Solanum lycopersicum: one gene and its partner. The main gene of each other region encodes a partner of the protein of the gene in region 2 in a complex. Links are inferred from orthologs where the notes say so. Each region holds a gene or a part of one and is shown on either strand. Other genes may lie near its edges.

The links. The genes of interacting proteins can lie anywhere in the genome.
Region 1: glutamyl-tRNA(Gln) amidotransferase subunit A, chloroplastic/mitochondrial (region 2) and glutamyl-tRNA(Gln) amidotransferase subunit C, chloroplastic/mitochondrial share a complex: the UniProt entries of both Arabidopsis thaliana proteins name them as parts of the heterotrimeric GatCAB amidotransferase (AdT) complex. The link is inferred for Solanum lycopersicum from reciprocal best matches to the Arabidopsis thaliana genes AT3G25660 and AT4G32915.

The regions. Positions count from the first base shown.
Region 1 is NC_090806.1:68,144,434-68,148,812, forward strand, and holds the start of glutamyl-tRNA(Gln) amidotransferase subunit C, chloroplastic/mitochondrial, read left to right. Parts: upstream 1-1,562; 5' UTR 1,563-1,729; coding exon 1,730-2,152; 3' UTR 2,153-2,162; intron 2,163-4,013; 3' UTR 4,014-4,379. UniProt on the Arabidopsis thaliana protein: Allows the formation of correctly charged Gln-tRNA(Gln) through the transamidation of misacylated Glu-tRNA(Gln) in chloroplasts and mitochondria. The reaction takes place in the presence of glutamine and ATP through an activated gamma-phospho-Glu-tRNA(Gln).
Region 2 is NC_090809.1:2,322,197-2,325,514, reverse strand, and holds the end of glutamyl-tRNA(Gln) amidotransferase subunit A, chloroplastic/mitochondrial, read left to right. Parts: intron 1-413; coding exon 414-489; intron 490-649; coding exon 650-727; intron 728-1,177; coding exon 1,178-1,271; intron 1,272-1,418; coding exon 1,419-1,468; intron 1,469-1,575; coding exon 1,576-1,689; intron 1,690-2,186; coding exon 2,187-2,279; 3' UTR 2,280-2,684; downstream 2,685-3,318. UniProt on the Arabidopsis thaliana protein: Allows the formation of correctly charged Gln-tRNA(Gln) through the transamidation of misacylated Glu-tRNA(Gln) in chloroplasts and mitochondria. The reaction takes place in the presence of glutamine and ATP through an activated gamma-phospho-Glu-tRNA(Gln).

The DNA of each region.
Region 1 (4,379 bases), on a different chromosome or scaffold from region 2:
TTAATAATTTTTCTTTTAAATCTTATATTCATATTAAGAATATTAGCAAATTTTAATTTTGAAATTAGATACAAATTTATCATACGTAAACTTAAAATTCAAACTCTACCTCTCATAATAAATTTGGTATATAAATAAACTTGTGTATTATCACAATACGACATTACTAACTATACTTTTGGATTTCAATATTGAAGTTTTTTTTTTCCAAATTAAATAGTAGTATTTAAATAGCAAAGGAGAAGATATGGTTGAGGTGAATGAAGACTAAAAGAAGCAGCGATCCGAATTGTGATGTAATGATGAAACTGTTTTAATCTTAATCAGAAGTTTTTAGTTTTAATTACAGATATGAAGAAAATTTATTTGGAAGTGCCAACCCTTTGAAAGAGCCCTGTGATACATGGTCTAAATTTAATCAGAGCTTTAATATAAATTGTGATGCCGAACGAGAAATAATAATTATAAGAAAAAGTAGAAGCACATGATTACATACTAAGATATTTAATAATGAATAGTAGTAATAATTGATGCATGAAATTAATGGTTGTGCCTTGTTTTGACCAGACAATGCAACGGGTGAGTAGGACCAGCCCACATCAAGGGGCTTTAGTTCTATCTGTGTTTTTTGGTCCTACTAGGAATGGAAATAAAATTAACAAAATAATCCAATCAATTTTTAGGAAAAAATATATTTTTAATGTGCGAAAATTAAAGTATTAGAAAAAATATTTCGAAGGTAAAGGATATAAATAGTCATTTTTAGAATTATCACTGTGTAAAGAATAGTAGAAATTTTAAGATTTGACCACCTATAAGTCAAACATCAGAGTTTTGATTTTGATTATGGATATAGAGTTTCAAATTTGAGTGTGAGTTTAAATAACCAGAGATTAACTTCAAAGGACATTACTCCATAGTAAGTTGATAAAAACAAAACTTAAATGGGAAAATCTTAGTAACTCGGTTCAATGACTATTCGAATTTTCGTGTAGATACAATTTTCCATCTCACAATCTCCTCCCTATTTTCTTTTTTCCTACCCCCATTTTTTAAAAAAAAATAGAAGAAGAAAAACAAACTTAAATTTTCTAATTTATGAGTTGTTGTATGACATAAAAAACATTAGACTTCAATTGATAATATATCAACCAAGAAATAAAGTGTAGTTAATGAATTAAAGACAAATAGGTTGAACTTCAACCATTTACATATGAAATTAGGCTTAATTAGCTTTCAACTTTATGACATTTGGACCAAAAGCGATAAAGACCGTCAAATCTAATTCTAAACTAACATCTGAAGTTTGAATTGTAGTTTAATATTCAAAAATGATGAAGATTGTTAAATATAATTTTAAACTCAAACATCTGAAGTTTGAACTGTAATACAATATGTCAATCTCGTATATATAGGTTCGTAGTTAGACTCGAAAAATCAAACTTTAGACTCAAAACTTTCAACTTTAATCTCGTAAATTTGAATTTTTAATTTCGATATAGCTTTAAGATTCTTAAAAATTTGGGCTATTTGTGCACTTGCCCCTTAGCTTAGTTGATTTCAGCCCAAAATTTAATGGGCCAAAGCCCATGAAGATTGATATCTGAAGCCCAAATCCCTTTGTTCCAAAATCTGGTAATCCTAGACTTCTCACAGTGGTGCCGTCTTCCGCCGTCTGCCACCGTATACCGCCGCCTACCTCACCGTCTTCATTTTCCAAACGCCATCCATGGGAAGCATCAGTGCTTTGCATTATCTGAAACCAACAAGAACTGCCAATGGTACATCCTTGTTCAATTTCAGTAAAAATCGCATTTCCCGATTACCAGTGGCTTTTCGAAGCTACACCGTGAAATCGAGTGTTCTAGAACCTCCAGATGTTCCACGTTTGGCTGAAACTGCTCGAATTTCACTCAATCCACAAGAAATTGAAGAATTCGCTCCCAAAATTAGACAAGTTGTAGATTGGTTTGGACAACTTCAAGCTGTTGATTTACAGAGTATTGAGCCAGCGATTAGAGCAAATACTGAAGGAGATAATTTGCGTGGAGACGTACCGGAGAAGTTTGAGAATAGAGAAGAATTGATTTCTGCTGTGCCAAGCTTTGAGGACCCTTACATCAAAGTTCCCAAAGTCCTCAATAAGGAGTGACGTTGTTTAGGTACTTTTCATTTCATCACTCCATTTTTCTTTCCAAGATGTATTTTGATGCAATGTATAATTGTTTGGATCAGCTTGCATGCAACTCGATTAATTATGAGCTAATTTGAAAAAACCCGATCGAATTGTGCTATTGAAACTTCTTAACTTAGCAAAGTATTTCATATATGGTCGCAAATTGGATTTACCTACTTTGATTTGCTATACTCGAGTCGAGTGGAGGGTCTTTAGAAAGATTTTTTCTACCTTGTGAGACTCTACTGAATATGTTATTGTTATTGTTATCGTGATTAGAATTTTGATATGTTATTTAGTTGTTAGTAGGCATTGCTTATGTATGGGGGTAAGAATTCACGATAGCTATTTTCAAGTGATCATCCATACATTAACACTTGAAATATTAAAAATTGAAGCAAATGCATGAGATATCGTTGATCATTGTTTAAGGCTTTGCATCTCAGTTTGGTCATTTAAAGTCTCAAGAAGAAAAGGCGGGGGCGTATTGAGCAGTTCCTTGATGCTCCTCTGAATCTTGACAAAATGAAAGTATTATGGTTTCAATTGACATCTCCACAACTGCAAAGAAGAGAGTTGTCGCGACTTATCCAAGACACCATCACTCCTGCATTAGAAATAGGAATCAACCTTAGAGATACAAAAGAAAAGTTAGCCTCAAAGAGGTTTCATTATCCAGCTTCGAAACTCATAGTGGATGATTTATGCGTTCTATTTTTACCCTTCTCCATTAATACCAGAGAGACTTCACTAATCGTGATTTTAACTCTTTGTCATGTTATATGTTATACACCTCTAGTAAGGGGATCATTATCATGGGTCGGAAAGAGTCGTGTCCTAAGAAGTGTTCACCATCTCTGAAGGTTAACTAGTTATTTTAGAGCTGGTTTGGCCTAGCGGTTTAAAACTGCTTGTTGGCCAACCATCGCAAATTTCCAAAAAGGTGTTTCTTTCTCCCAAAAAGTAATTTGGGCTTCCAAACCGCTTGGCCAAACTGGCTCTTAGATGTCCTCCCATTCAAAGTTGATCTTGAAGACCCAAAACTCCCGGAGTTGGTTAAGTGTTATTTTCTTGCTGGTAAGCATTCAATTTTGGTAATCGTACAACTGTCAGTTGAATACGATTGCTAGAGCTTGAAAGTATCCTATCCTCACAGTTATCAATCTAAGTTGTCAGGCTACAGAACCTCATGCTTGAATCTTTTCAAGTGAATCATGTTCCTCATAAGTTATCAAGCTACAACACCTTGTGCACGTCCTTTAAGTCAAAACAGTGTCCATATTCATGGAAACACACTCATTTGAATCTCTCAACCATCAGCACAAGTACTCATCAAGTGATTTTTTCGAGCAGTTCTACTCTATGATACTATTGTGGAAGTTATATAGGTCTTCACTCTCTTTATAGCTCTCTATGTTGCATCATTTGAAGTGGTAATAGAAACTCCTCAAATTATCTGTGCTATTTGTTAGTTCTTAGTTCTGTGAAGTTGAAAGTTTACATCTGCTTAAATGGAAAATCCCATCCAAAAGAAATAGACTACAACTAGTTAGACAGATCAGGTGATTCAAGAAGTCCATATCAAAGCAGGAGAGTAGCCAAACTCAGTACTTGACTGGAGAACCACTATCACTTTCCAATCATACAATTTTATTATAGTTGTTGCCTGGTTTAGTCCCGTTTAGTTACTTTTACATTGCCAGGAGGCTGTTGGAGCGTTATGTCCAACATATCCTCCCTTCATCTGTACTGTTCCATGCTCATTAGCCAATGTCCAACATTCACACTGTTTCATGCTCATTAGCGTAATGTCAACACCCTCTCTTCATCTGTACAGTTCCATGCTCATTTTGGTAATGAAATCAAGTCTATTTACCAGACTGATACACACAGCTTTCCAAAGGAGAATAACATTGCCATTGACATTCACCTTCCCAATCCAAAGAATGTTACTGATAAATGTGATCAGTTGGAATCTCAGAAGACTTTGAACAGCCCTTTCCAGTTATCGCTATATCTGCAAAGCATCACAAGCACTATCATCTTGAAATTTGAAGCCATTAGAGATGGGAGAGGAGAGAATGTTCAAGAATTAACATAAATCAATTCGATTACAATTTTACGAGTTGAATTTAGTACTGGTAGTTTCGTTTTTCTTTCTCTACTTATATGAATATAGTCCATATTATTACAAAAGCAAAAT
Region 2 (3,318 bases):
GCTTCTATGCTGATGAATATGTTGTTATCGTTATAAAAATAATATAAGTACATAACAGCAGTACGATCTTCAGTTCTGATATTTCTTAGGTTTCATCAGCCCTAACCCTCAGTTTTGGTTGCCAAATTGAAGGAGGATAACTAAGTTCGTTCTTGTTAATTCTACCATTTAAAGAGAATAGAAAGTAGTTAGGAGTGCCCATGATGAGTTCAAACGGATATATTACTTTAATTACTCCATACTAGTCGCAAGAACTAAGAATTCATTGCCATTTCAAATACGTGGATACGCAACCATAATTTAGACAAGATGTAATTGGGGAGACTGCCTTACACTAGTAATGACAAACCTGTCAATGTTTGCTCAAATTTTTTGATTAAGACCCAAGGAATAATGTGATGTCAAAAATGCAGGTATGGGAAACAAGTTTTTGCTGATGAGTTGAACTCCCTTTATGGGGAATCTCGTGCCGGAGGCTTAGGTGCTGAGGTACTAAGGAAAAGAACTTTTCTGTGTGATGTAGTTCTGTAGTGGTTACTTCTAAAAGGGGTCTCCTACCTTTCTTTCTCGTAATCTTTTCATGCAAGCTGGCCCGCCAACACACAGTCAAAAAGAACTATTGGACTAAATGTATTAAATGTCTTTACAGGTGAAAATGAGAATCCTAATGGGGACATATGCTCTGTCTGCTGGTTATTATGATGCATATTACAAGCGAGCCCAGCAGGTTGTACATCTATGTGCTCAGAATAGTCCAACTCCACATAGCAATTAAAGTTTAAAATGCAATCACTTTCTTGATATACTCATGCATCTAAAGATAATTGATACTAATATAATCCAATCAGAACTAAGTAATATTCAATCACTTTAATGATTCTCTTCTGTATCTCTGAATAAATGCTTACACAAGACAATCTTCATGTTAGTTATTCATTGTGTCTCTAACCGTGAATTTGTGGATCCAAAATATTTGTCAAGTGGAGTTTAGATCATGTGTCTACATGGCAGTTAGAACCAACTACGTTTGGTTGACGCATCTAGTAGACTTTTTGCTACTCTCATCATCTAGCAATAATTCATATTTTAACGAGTTATATGACCCCAATTTACAAGTGTTCGATAATTTCTTGCTTATCTTAATTCTTCAAGATGTTAAAGAGTGACTCTGTTCCAGGTCAGGACTTTGGTAAGGGAAAGCTTCAGGGCAGCATTAGATGAGAACGATATTTTGATTTCTCCTGCTGCACCATCAGCAGCTTACAAAATTGGTACACTTCTTTTACCTTTTGCATTTACTGATGAAACTACTTTTCGATCTTGCTTAAATACATTTTTGTTTTCTTTTCTTTTTGTCCCATGATCCCCTTCCCTTGAAAGGCAACACTAACTCTCACTACGACATGTGGAATTTACAGGTGAAAAGAAGAACGATCCGTTGTCAATGTATGCTGGTGATATTATGACTGTAAGTAGTTTTTTTTCCTATTTTAACCCCTCTAGTCAGATGATGACGTAACTTGTTCAGTCTAGTTTATGTTCTCTTCAATTAATGATTATTTTCATTATTGGCAGGTCAATGTGAACTTGGCTGGTCTTCCAGCATTAGTTCTCCCGTGTGGATTTGTTGATAGCAGTTCTGTGGCCCTTCCCGTTGGTGTTCAGATGATTAGTGCTGCATTTGAAGAGGTGAGTTTCAGTACTCCAACTATTTCCAGTTGATATTCCAGTGTTAAGAATGATATTTGAGCACGGGGATAGTTCATGTTATCTAGATCTCTCTTTTGAGAAAGTTGAAAAGGTCGGTAAAAGAGGGATAACATACTTACTTCGCTTGAAAATGTAACCGAGTTGAACTTGAGCTTCTTAAATAGATGTATTGAATACATTCACTTTTTGTACGACCGTAGAGATGAAAAGTGTGGATACTATGAAAGCATAAATGCTCAAGTTTAATGCAAGCAAACCTGAAGAAGTAGAATATGATTAGAAAAGAAATAAAAACACCTAGTAGTTTAGACTTTTATAACCATTTTGAACCTTATCTCACACGGTTCTGAGCTATGTTGCTCGGACTCTCCAAAATGAACTACTTATATGCCTTCACTTCTTGCTTTTCTTTTAGCATGCTTGCTTGTATGCATCTAAAAGTTCGTCATATTTTACGCGTACTAAAATGAATGCAGGAGAAATTGCTTAAAGTAGGCCATATCTTTGAGCAGACACTGCAAGGCTGCTCTTTTATTCCTCCTCTAGTTGCTGATGAATTGGGATGCTAGTCGTGAATTCTTGCGCGCAGTTATGTTCCAGTTAATCAATGCAACGATTTCACGCAAAGTGACTGCAAAATAGCGCCATGGTGCAAAGCTCTGTGCTGACAAGAAGACGACAGGTTCGTCTATCTAGTATCAAATGATCCACCAATCCTTCCAGGCTCGTGCCACTGTTTCCAAACGAATCGTTACGTTCAGAAAACTTTCTTGTGCTGGATTTTTTTTGTAGGATTGGCGTGTAAAGATACGCGCCAATCGAAAATTCATAAGAACTCTCAATATCTGAGATACTTGTAGCTTATTGCAAGCAAATTCTTTTTGTAAATTAGCATGCATCAATTTTGAAAACTTTGATGTATACATTTGTCATCTTTATTTTCTGCAAAGTTGATTTCAAGTTTTTGCCCTTGATGCTCATTTGATGAAAAAAATTTGGTTTGATATGAGATATTAGTACTACTTGATATTCGGTATTTTTTTCGAAATTATTTACTTAATGAAGGTCATATATCAACAGGTCTATTACTCGTATAAAGTAAAAAAAAAAAAGTAGTTAAAAGACTAAACATAAACAACCTAAATACATATGTTTTTTTTATTTTTACTTGTGTCAATTATTTTTCTTGTTATCTTATTACTTGTGTTGATGTTCTATTATATTGTATCTCGACGCAGAAAAATAGAAATAATTTGAACAAGAGTATTAACATTGTAATATAATTAACTACAACTTTAATACGATGTTATCGAATATCATGTCAAATTAAAATTTGATTTATCAATTACCTAATTATCAAATTACGATTATCAAAAATTTTAAAATATCAAATCAAATATCGAACGCCCACTCTTAGATTATAACTTTCTTTTTTCCCTTTCGAAATCATCTCACGATTAGGTAAGAATTGAAAAGGAAAAGACAATATCTACAATTAATAGTTATTACTTTTTTCGATCATTTTTATTTATCATATTACGCCTTTCGAAAGTTATTTTTAATTTGATATTTTAAATTAAAAAAATTAAATATTAAAAAATTATATAA